Linked DNA regions of Saccharomyces cerevisiae S288C. The main gene of each other region encodes a partner of the protein of the gene in region 2 in a complex. Each region holds a gene or a part of one and is shown on either strand. Other genes may lie near its edges.

The links. The genes of interacting proteins can lie anywhere in the genome.
Region 1: MRPL27 (region 2) and MRPL11 share a complex: the UniProt entries of both Saccharomyces cerevisiae proteins name them as parts of the mitochondrial large ribosomal subunit.
Region 3: MRPL27 (region 2) and RTC6 share a complex: the UniProt entries of both Saccharomyces cerevisiae proteins name them as parts of the mitochondrial large ribosomal subunit.

What each region holds. Positions count from the first base shown.
Region 1 is NC_001136.10:95,631-100,551, reverse strand, and holds MRPL11 (mitochondrial 54S ribosomal protein uL10m MRPL11), read right to left. Parts: upstream 2,078-4,921; coding exon 1,328-2,077; downstream 1-1,327. Other genes in the region: MGT1 (methylated-DNA--protein-cysteine methyltransferase), read left to right, coding at 1-51; TRM8 (tRNA (guanine46-N7)-methyltransferase), read right to left, coding at 131-991; ACK1 (Ack1p), read left to right, coding at 2,599-4,470; RTN2 (Rtn2p), read right to left, coding at 4,766-4,921. UniProt on the Saccharomyces cerevisiae protein: Component of the mitochondrial ribosome (mitoribosome), a dedicated translation machinery responsible for the synthesis of mitochondrial genome-encoded proteins, including at least some of the essential transmembrane subunits of the mitochondrial respiratory chain.
Region 2 is NC_001134.8:766,645-769,180, reverse strand, and holds MRPL27 (mitochondrial 54S ribosomal protein mL41 MRPL27), read right to left. Parts: upstream 942-2,536; coding exon 501-941; downstream 1-500. Other genes in the region: SSH1 (Ssh1p), read left to right, coding at 1-238; glutamine amidotransferase subunit DUG2, read left to right, coding at 1,575-2,536. UniProt on the Saccharomyces cerevisiae protein: Component of the mitochondrial ribosome (mitoribosome), a dedicated translation machinery responsible for the synthesis of mitochondrial genome-encoded proteins, including at least some of the essential transmembrane subunits of the mitochondrial respiratory chain.
Region 3 is NC_001148.4:196,309-200,703, reverse strand, and holds RTC6 (mitochondrial 54S ribosomal protein bL36m RTC6), read right to left. Parts: upstream 1,610-4,395; coding exon 1,328-1,609; downstream 1-1,327. Other genes in the region: tRNA (34-2'-O)-methyltransferase regulator RTT10, read left to right, coding at 1-1,209; MRN1 (Mrn1p), read left to right, coding at 2,916-4,395. UniProt on the Saccharomyces cerevisiae protein: Component of the mitochondrial ribosome (mitoribosome), a dedicated translation machinery responsible for the synthesis of mitochondrial genome-encoded proteins, including at least some of the essential transmembrane subunits of the mitochondrial respiratory chain.

The DNA of each region.
Region 1 (4,921 bases), on a different chromosome or scaffold from region 2:
CAGTTATTAAATAATGAAAAGGAAAATAGCTTAAGCCTTAGTAGATTGTAGTTGGATAAAGGATTTTAGGAAAATAAACATAAGAAATAGTTATGTATATGTGGTAAATTGTTCTAGTTATACATCTATGTTACAATATGGCTGGCGTTGGTAATCTTGTGAAACAAGCGACGAACTTGTCACCCTTCTTTCTTTCCACTTTTTTACCTTCTTCTGTGGCATTTCTCATTATTTTCACACATTCATCGTTTTCTTCCCATTCTTTGCTCAACCGTTCAAATAAAGGATGCTCTTCTAAATGTTTTACCATCCACTCATGCAGGTCTTTGACGTCTGTAATTGTGTACACGACACCGCCCTCTTTCAAAACATATGCGTACTCACTCAGCAAGGTGTTAGTGATAATTCTTGCCTTATGCTTTCTTTGTTTGAAATGAGGATCGGGGAAACAAAAAAACATTTTAGAAAGCTGGCCCTTTTCAAAAAAGTTGGGCAAGAATTTCATAGCGTTACCTCTCAAGACATTAATGTTTTGAAATCCATGTTTTGAAGCTGTATTGTTCCTTAAGGCAATAATTCTATCCTCCACGTAATTTGTAACCTGCACACGAATTTCCATCCCTAAGATAAGATCTTCAGGGAAGGCTGGTGATAAATCTATCATCAACCCACCGAATCCACAGCCAATATCAGCAATCGTCACCTTCTTTGTCATTTGTCCATTTTCCGCGTTTTTGTAGTAAGGGTACAATTTGGACCAATCCATATCCTGGGGAGATACTGGGTACTCTAACTGGTGATCTGAAAATGGGTTGGAATGCGCCCTTTGACGATAATATCTCTTCTTTGGCAAGTCGATCTTTTGGCCTTCTTGCACCAAAGAACTTTCATTGATCTTTACATGCTTCAACTCCTTACGATTTTCTTCCTTATTTATACGGTATGCGTAACGCTTGGAGCCTGGATCTTGGCTTAGTGGCTTGGCTTTCATCTTAACAATAAACGCTTGAAAATTTTATCCTATGGGAACTGCTGAATCTATACTAATCCAGCTTTTGTGGCGCTTTAATAAAGTGAAATGTCAGAAATATCCTGAAATTTTTTGCTGAAGTCATCACCAAAATTTTTCATTTTTTTTTTTTTTCAACGGTCGCTGAGATATGTAAAAAGGTAAGAAAGGTAAAAGAAAGGTAATTTTGACGTCAATACATAGACTAAAGTATATTTACCGTTATTGCTTCATTGTCTTTTTATTTTTTGATGATGTATGTACATGATTGAATAGTAAAACCTTTATAAAACTTGTCGAATTACGGGCATTTTCTTTTTACTTTGATCCCTTCGATTCTGCATCTGTAGTTGACTCCACATCCTCTTTAGGTTTTTGGTTGTCATTGTGAGATTTTAGTGTTAAATACAATGCATTTGAACTGTTTTCCAACGTACGAACCAAACCCAACCCACTTAGCATTTGCAAAACGCTGACTAACTGCGACTGCATTTCCGGCTTTGTGGGGAGAGTCTTAAAAGTGTTTATTTTTTCCACATTCAAAACTTCGTTTTCTACTTTTGCACCAATCACCATCAGCTTGTCTTGTGCTGACTGCAGAACCTTCAATAGCTTGGCTACTTGTTGAGGGTTGGTGTCTTCGTATGTAATTGTGGCCGTAGGACCCTTCAGTAGTGGCAAGAGTGGATGTTTCCAGTTTTGCTCTTTACGCTTCACGAATCCACATGGGTCGGGCAGATGCGAATTTCTCAAGTAGACTTCGAACAGGTTGTTTCTTACTTTTGTGAGTTTCCCTCCTGTCTGTTTAATCTTGAATCTGAAATGGTGATCTTCTGTTTTGGAAAGATTATTGTAATGGACAAAAAAAATCATAGAACTGTTCTCCATTAAATGCTTGTATGTATCGATGAGAAACGTCTTCCTCGAGTCCAGCGGCTTTACTGTCTTTCTTGAGGGTTGTTCAGAAGCCAGAGCATAAAATCTCTTATGTACTGTACCAATTGTCTCCTTCAAACCAAAAAAACCATTTCTGGGGACCCATCCAGGCATAAACCTTAGCTGCAACATTATTTATAATCACACTCCGCGCCCAAGCACTTCCAATAAGGTCTAAAGCTTTTGTTTTCCTTACTCTTCAATTGTACTAACCTTCTTTCTTTTCTCAGTTTACTGCTATAACTCTACGTTTTTTTCTGTATGAATCTCTACTAAGCCCTAGGGTTATTAGTGTATAAACGTTAGGTTACACTATGAAAAAGACTTGTTTAATAGGTCATATAGTAAAAAGCTTAGGTTAAGTGCCTTCAAGAACGAAACCTAATTTTAAAATTGACGACTAATTATCAAGTGTATTGAAGATGGCTTGAGATGAACCTTAGCACTGGATGCTATGGCTTGTAGAATAAGCAGATATCCCGGTAATTTAATTTGAGTTGCTCAAATTATATACAAGAACGTGGTAGAGACTGGATTTGGAAGCGTCTCTTTTTATGAAGTAGATTTTAACTCCGTTTTCTTTTCATTTCCTTCTATTCTTTTGTACAGAGTGTACCACCACGTTTTAATACTTTGTTTTAATACAGTAGGCAATGGTTAATCAGGGCCAACCGCAACCTAACCTCTATGACAAACACATTAACATGTTTCCACCAGCAAGGGCGCGGGAGTCCTCGCATAAATTGGGAAATGCCAATTCGGATAGGCATGGTTTGCCAGCTCAAAATATAGTGCCTGCACCCTATCCAGTGGATGACTCTATCGTTGAACTCACACCAGCTATTCCTTTTACATCCCCTTCATCTTCCTCATCATTATCGCTGCCTTTGAGTGCGCTGAATTTCACAGACGGGAATGCTGATGGTGGTCAATTAGGCACTCCAGTAACCATAAATAGTAATAACGGCATGGACATTTTTAATTCCAAGCCAACAGGTGAAATAGGATATGCCAATAATGGCACCAACAGTACTGGTAGTAGGTATGAACTTCCTTTCAATTTTAGTTCTACAAAAGAGAGTTTGGGTTCACCAGCTGTACAAGATGCATCAATAAGCAGTGGAAATCGAATATCAGAGTCTGTAAGGGACAACTCAGCGCCACCACCCTATGAGGAATCTGAATCTAGGATACTGCAGGAAAAAGTTTACAGAACCGAGGAAAAAGCTCCAATACGACCTTTGAATAATAATCCTGTTCCACCACAAAAAATCAACCAACCACCCACTGGGAGCGCGAAGACAGACGATAATGGGTCCTCAGGTGGTGAGGACAAACTGTCTTCCTATTCACCAGAGGCATTGGCTTTCTATCAAGTGTACAAGAAGACAATTACTGACTCTTCAAAATTCACCCCCGAGATACAAATGCAATGGTGTGAAACATTACTTACATATGCCTTTAATGAGGATTTCATATCGCAATATAACATAAACGCGGAGAAGCTCAAAAGAAGCTTAAAGCCTGAGGAAATGCTCAAAAACCAGAAAGTCATTTTGGAACATTCATTCAAGGTGCTCACAAAATTGATAACTTTAAAATGGCCACCTGCCATGTATTTAATGGGGACGCTGTATTCACACCAACCCTATTTACCTATAAAGAACAAAAACATCGTTATTAAAAATGATGAAAAGGCGCTGGAATATTATTGTAAAGCTGCGAAATTGAACAATTCAGATGCATGCTACCGTGCAGGTGTATGCTTTGAATACCAAAGGGGCACCTCTTCTTTGGATCCATCACCAACCAAAGAACAATGCATAAAAAAGGCCTTCCAATACTACCAGCATGGCGCAGAAGTTTGTTCAAATTCTGCGTGTATGTATAAATTAGGGATGAGCCATTTATACGGTCTGAACATGCAAAAGACTGATGTATTGCTAGCTATTAAATGGTTTGATAAAGCTGCCCAAAAGGGTGACTCTCCACAAACATTATATGAGTTAGGTAAAATATATGAATTCAGTGTTTTGCCGCCAGAAATCCAGAACCTATTATTTGCGAACGGCATACGAAAAGACTCTCAACTGGCAATAAAATACTACCAACAATGTGCCAAAGATTTTGAGTACCCTTTAGCGCAATGGAAATTAGGAAATTGTTATGAGTTTGGAGACCTAGGGTTGCCAGTGGTGGCCAAAAAATCCATATATTGGTATTCCAAAGCTGCTGCTGCTCAGCCGAAGGGGAATCCGATGGCAATGTTATCCTTAAGTGGATGGTACTTAACGGGAGCACCAAATATTTTGAAACCAAACAATAAAGAGGCATTCAACTGGGCCTTGAAGAGCAGCAAGTGTTCAGACGGTAAATTAGCCCGCACTGAATTTGCCTTAGGATTTTATTACGAAAAAGGTGTCGGTTGTGAAGTTGATTTGGATCTGGCCAAACAATATTATCAGAGGGCTGCAAGAATGGGATTCAGGAAGGCAGTTGATGCTCTTCGAAGTTTGACAAATTAACGAATTCGCATTTCTTTATTATGCCATAAATCAAATATTATTCAGGACATTAGTAAAATATTGTAACATTCTCCTCAAAAATGAGAGGAGAATAAAAATAACAAAAGCGAAGAAATGCGACGTCATTTACTCATTATTTTAAACTAAATAAAAAAAATATTGTAACTACTTATCGTTGTAATGATATCTTTTCTTCAAAAAAATATATAGTTGGTGATAAATATGACCTCTTTGAAAAAAAGAAAAGGAAATGAACTACTAGCTAGAAAGAAGAGAGAAAAAAAAAAAAACTAGATTATGCGTGTTGCAATTTTTGCTTTAGGCCGTGCGTGGTTTTGTGTAAGGTTTCATTATTCTTGATGGGAATCGATTGGCTTTCGGCGGGTTTAGTGGTGTGTCTAGTTGGAGCTGGAACGGTGATTGGATCTGGGATTTCCTTGCTTCCTACCAG
Region 2 (2,536 bases):
ACAGAATGTCGCTAAAGAATTGAACAAAGTCATTCCAATCGCAGCTGTTACGGGTGCATCCGTCTTAAGTTTGATCACCGTTATCGGTGAATCTTTGGGTTTGAAAGGTAAAGCTGCTGGTATAGTTGTTGGCATTGCTGGTGGGTTTTCTTTGCTAGAAGTCATTACCATTGAATACCAACAAAGTGGCGGTCAAAGTGCTTTGAATCAAGTCTTGGGTGTTCCAGGTGCTATGTAAACAAAGAAAAGAAAAAAAAGAAGGAAAACAAAAAAGAAGATCAAATTCTCTCTGCTACGCGCATTTATATACGTACGAACTTTTTGCTCTTCTTTTAGATTTATATGTATCTATATTTAACTCAAAGAAAGATGACATATGGTGCAATGTCTAAGCCATGTTTTATTTGATTTTGTTTTACAATCTTAAGTTTTATTTTTTATCTACCTATAAAGTCGAAAACTAGTATTTACACGCATATTGAAGAAAGATTATAAATAACTTATCCACGCTCCTTATAACATGAAGTGTCGGTGGCCCCTTCGCTTTGTACCCTCCCGTTTACTATGTATTCTTTTATCTTTAATAACTGTAAACGAGGATCTAATGGGCCGCCGCTAAATCCTTTAAATTCGTGTTTTAGAGGTGGTACATTTGCGTTAACGTAGGGCTTTAATTCGAAATTAACCATATCTGGGGTAACATAGGTTCTGACTTTCTTCCAGTTTATCACATAACCACCGAATTTTGTATGTCTACCAATCCCTGAAGCTCTTGTCCCTTTGTACATCGTCTTGTTACCTTGCTTCGTGGTCAACGGCACTCTTTTATTCCCAACTTTTGATAACCCATAAAATAATTCACCATCTCTGTATTTCTTCCAAGGCCTGGTAAGAGCATTAATAGAGGTCTTACTAAATTGAGAAATGGGTGAGCCTTTCATTTTAGTTATTTGCTGTCCTCACTTTCAAGGTAATCTTTGATTCCCGTAGTTTTTTTAAGCAAAAATTGGTGTATACTACTTCAATAGTCCTATCTTTTGTATTAATTCTAGCTTTTCAAAAATAATCCGTGAAACGTGATAATAATAATTATGTATCTCAAGAAAATCATCATCAAATAGCCGCCAACAAGCTGCAGTGAAGCAACATTGAAAGTCCTTCCCGCAAGTATTAGGCTCTGTTTAAAGATTACTAACCTTGTTAATAATTATAATAACACTTCACAGCTATTTTCGTATTCCTTTTCATAGTTAAGGGCATTTCACTTTGATCTAGAATGATCCTCTGATTTCGATGTTTTGTTATATGGTAAGGAAGCTCTTGAGCATTGCTCACAATTACTGCTGCAATTAGAAGTTCAATGAAGATGGTATCTTTTTTTTTTTTTCTCATGAGAGGGAATACCGACTTTACCATAAACTTGAGTGATAATCGCATTGTGCGCCGCGAAAAGCTGTGGCACCAATATCAATAAAATGTGTGTAACTGAATTATTTAAGTGAAAAACTATTTCGAGAAACCGAACAACCCTGTAAGGAAAAGTGAAAAACGAGGGCAGAAGTAATTGTGAAATCATGTACGATAGCAGGGGTGTCGCATTGCACTCTGAACTAATTCATAGGTGGAATCACGCTTTTTCCATCTTATCCATTGTTGCATTTCCAAAAAAAAGATTGTTGTTTGCTGGTAGCCAAGACTCCAAGATATTGGTTTTTGATCTTCCCACATATAATCTAATACATACGATTAGACTAGGCGAATCACAAGAGGAAACGCATACCAGATCTTCGGTTTTGTGCTTGACAGGATCAGAAGATGAAAACTTTTTATTTTCAGGCGGCGCAGATTCTTTGGTGAGAATTTGGTCCATTGGCGAAAAGACCATTAGAGATGACTTTCTACCTGTTACTGAAATAGCCACTGTTTACTCAGTGACCGATATTGGTGATATTTTCTCATTGGCATATTTGGATTCGTTGGAAACTATTGTCTTTGGCTGTCAAAATGCAAGCTTACTATATGTTGAGAACTTGATTCAGAAGATTGAAAAAAAATCCTCTGATGGAGTAGAAAATATCAATAAATTACCGCATAGAAGATATGATAAGTTCTTTGATTCGTTAGGTCCGACTGGATATAGTTCAAATTCATTATCTCAAACTTCATTGACCTCTCTACAAGAAAACTGTGGCGCTGCCATCATAGAGGTTCCCTCCGAAAACATTATTAAATATGCACATTATGGGTTTATTTATTCTATTAATAAATTGTGTCCCAGGTTTAATCAGTTATTGGAAAAAAGCTCACGAACTTCTGGTGCAGAGCACATAATTTCATCCGCTGGTGATGGAATAAGCAAGCTTTGGGAGTTCTCTAAAGATAAAGGGCAAAACACTGTTAAAATCTCCTTGATAAACGATAAAATCGACAATGAAGATAGCGTCATATCCCAAACTATTGAGTTCCCATTTTTATATTGCGGGTTGACTGACGGGATTATAAAAATCTGGGACTTAAATACTCAGCAAATAATCTC
Region 3 (4,395 bases), on a different chromosome or scaffold from region 2:
CATCGTCTGTGGAATCTCGCAAAAATTACTGATGGCCACGTATTAATGTATATTAAGGCATCCCGATTTCATTTAAGGAAAATTTACAACTCCATTGTGCCTGAAACTTTAGAAAATGGTGTACACGGAAGGGAAATCAGAGATATTTCAATCTGTCCTGTTTCAAATACCAACACGAATGACAATTTTAAGGATGGGCATATATTCTGTACTGCATCTGAAGATACTACAATTAAGCTGGGATATTTTAACAATAGAACAGGGAAGGTGCAGAATTTTTGGACACAAAGAAAGCATGTGTCTGGATTACAACGTTGTCAGTTTATAAATCACAAACTAATGATATCATCTTCAGCTAGAGAGGAGTTATTCTTATGGGAATTGAACGATAAGTATAATAAACGACCATATATGACCATACGACAAGCTTTACCTGTATCCACAAATAATTCTGATCTAAGGATCATGGATTTTGATGTCAAATTTATATCACAGTCAGGTGACTTCTTATTAGTTACTGTTTATTCAGATTCAACAATAAAGATTTGGCACTATAGGGAAAATCAGAATAAGTTTGACCTGATCATGCAAGGTCGTTATAAGACGTGCTGTTTATTCAACGTCGTATTTATTGCACTGAAAGAAGAGCTCCTTGTTGTCATTTCACCAACTGATGGACATTTAGTGGTTTATAATATAACCGAGTACGTACCATTTTCCGTTGATCCGATTTCTGGCGATTTGGTTGACCACAAACTGGACGCTACTATCTCAAATCTTCCCGCACCTGTAGCGCAGTTGCCGGTACATCAATCTGGTGTCAAGTCCCTAGACTATGTTGCTAATGCTACAAGAACTTCCGCCACAATTTTGACAGGGGGTGATGATAATGGTTTAGGGTTAAGCAACCTGAAATTAGATGACTCGAATAAAGTAACGTTAAAAACAAGTGACTTTATCGCTGCAGCAGCTTCTTCGACAATAACGTCCGGTATGTTGATTAATGGTGGCAAAGAAGTCATTACCACATCGGTTGATCAAGTAATACGCGCTTGGGAAATTACCGCAGGCAAGCTTTCACTGGTAGATAAAAAGCGTACCACTGTGGCGGATACAGGATCATTAGAAATCATTTCCAATGATGAAGATGCTGATTCTGAGAAAACGTTACTGATCGGAGGTGTTGGTTTATCAATTTGGAAAAAATGATACAAAAAATTAACATATACATAAAAGAATATTATAGATATGTATTATTTACAGATTTTAGAAAATGAGAATATTTTGTAAACACCCGAACGGAGAACAGCGAAGAGATTTACATCTTTCAGCCTTGACGCTGTTTGTGTTTTTTATTCGACTTGCAATAAATGTATACTCTTCCCTTTCTTCTTACCAAGTAGCAATCACTGCAGAACTTTTTGACAGATGTTCTGACCTTGAAACCTCTGTTAAAAACCAAAGGTCTGTTAGCTGCAACAAGAGCTGGTTGCGGAGCTGCAACAGATAGGAGGCTGGGCACTGTGCAGGCCCTTGTTATCGTTATGGGGGACGGTTTCATGTGCAAAAACATCCTTGGCATAGTTAGGCGGAGAGTCTGTAAAAACATTCTTTGAAATCCTTTCGCTTGCTGAAAAATTCTGAGATTTGTACTATGAACCGTAGCCGTTATATGCGAGTAGATCGAGGCTATATCCCAATGCCAATAGTTCCACGATTCATTCCCTTTCTATTTGGAATAAGTGCGAAGACAGAATTTTTAATTTCGGCTTGGGTGAGAGAAAAAAAAAATCATAGTTTCGTTACGCAGATAGTAAATAACTAATACATAGATAAAAGCACCACCTTCTACCGGACCGTCGTCATTCTCGGCAACACCGTTGAAGTGTTTATGACTACGCTTTTTTTATCCTCACTTTTGGAATGCCCTTGAACTATGGACCTTTCACTCCCTATTGACAAATTCAAAAGACAAAAAAGGGAAACACTTGGAAAAGGTAACTTGACGTCCAATAATACACGCCGAATGAGGGCAGACTATGTCTTTCTTCCAACTGCCGTGGCAGTTGCGTACTTATCATTCTTATGTTCTTACAGTGGGATTCCACCATCATGGTAACCCGGTGCTTTTTTTCCTTGTGGTACGATTTTGGCTATGAGAAGAGAAAGAAAAGACAGAAAAAAACACGATCTTGAAATTAACTTTACCAGAAAGTGGATCTTGTGGTTGTCCGAAAGTCTACAAAGAGATTCAGTCACAACCGCAATCATACTCCATCCCTTCGTCACAGCAATAAATTAATCAGTTTCTTTGCCTTTGGTGGAAAGTAAAAAAAACTAAACTTGGTTCAGCACAGCGCTATATCTACGAGAACACCGTTGCCCACTCTTATACATTATTTTCACAGAGTCACATTCCCCACTGAATTCTCTCCTTAAGCTTCCTTTCTCTGTTTATTTTACCAATTTACAATTTCTAGAACTGATAGTCTCTGTACCTTTCCTTTAGATACACATACGCTTCATTTCTTTTGAACATTGTATTCTTCTATTTTCTTCGTTCTTCCGTTATTTGATATTTGCCCCTTTTTAAGTCTTCTGACTCACCTGTTCTGCTTTACCAATTAGGCTCCTTAATTGGTTCAACTGTCCATTCCAGCCTCATATTTTTCACTTTATCTTTCTTCATCATTTTTTTTGTCTAATTAATATCCGTTTCCAACTTCAATTCTCAAGGACACTCTTTTTTTTTTTGAAAAAAAATATCATATTTTTCTTTGCTAATACTATTTTATTTTTTCAATTCTGGTCGTTGAAGCCTTTTCTATTCAGATATTTCCTAAAGAAAAACAAAGAACTATCGTTGTATTTTTTTTTTTCTTCACCATCACATACTACTTCAATTGCATTAAAACATGGTGGTTTCTTATAACAATAATAATAACAATAACAATAACAATAACAATAATAATATCAGTAATAATAATAACAATAATAACATGTTCCCTCCTTTTCCTTCTTCCGATGACTTTGCAATGTATCAACAGTCCAGTTCTTCCGGCCCTTACCAAGAAACTTATGCGAGTGGCCCTCAAAACTTTGGCGATGCTGTGTATCCTATGAATGGTAATTTTACTCTTTTACCATCCGACTTTACACGAGAGCCTAATGATTCGTTCTTTTACGAGAATGACGGAATTTTTGATTATCAGCGTATTCAACAGCAACCAACTCAATTCCAGACAAAGCAGCGAAATGATTCACAACAGCAACGGTTTTCACAGGAACAAAATTTCGAAATTGATAACGAAGTTGTCCACAATAACAATCGTTATTATGAATATGAAAGGTCATCAAATGAAGTCTCTCCTTTTGATGATGAGAATCCAAATGTGTTATCTGATGGCATGTCACCCACTATTATGGCAACTGCAACTGCAGTAACCAACGCAAATGCGCCTTTACCAGTTAATGCACAAGCCAATAATCCTTTGAATTTTACATCGGCCCCAAGTAGAACTGTTTATTTGGGTAATGTGCCACCAAACCTAAGCGTTAAAGAGTTATTGGATCATGTCAGAAGTGGTGTCGTTGAAGACGTCAAAATCATACCTGAAAAGATGTGTGCATTCGTTTCGTTTATAGATGAAAGTGCTGCACTATTGTTCCATTCAGACGCAATTTTAAAGCGCTTGAACATCGGTGACAGGGATATCAAAATCGGGTGGGGGAAACCAACTCGAATTGATCCTATTGTAGCGGCTAGAATCTCTACGGACGGTGCCACAAGAAATGTATACATTGGCCGTATGACGATTGAAGGCGAAGAATCACATTTATCTGAGGAGCAATTGAGGGTTGATTTAGAAGAATATGGTGAAATTGACTGTATAAAAATTATCAAGGAAAAGGGAATCGCCTTTATTCATTTTGCGTCTATTTTAAATGCTATAAAAGTGGTTACGAATCTGCCAATTAGAAATCCATACTATCAAAATAAGAGAATATTTTATGGAAAGGACAGATGTGCATTTATTACCAAAACTCAACAACATAATGCGGCTCAATTTCTAGGTGTACAACCTGGTATGGAACATATGATAGAGTTTTCTGATCGTGAATTTATATCTAACGCTTTGTTACAACAGTCTGCTGCTGCTGCTGCAATTGCTACATCTGCGGGCGGCCCCAATAACTTGGGTAACAGGACTGTTTACCTGGGCAGCTTGCCTAAGGATGTTAAAATTGAAGAAATATGTAATGCAGTTCGTGGAGGTTTATTACAAAGTATAAAACTATTGAACGATCGATACGTCTGTTTTGTAACATTCATTGATCCTACTGCTGCTGCGCAGTTTTATGCAATGAGTTCTTTGTATGGATTCACAGTCCAGA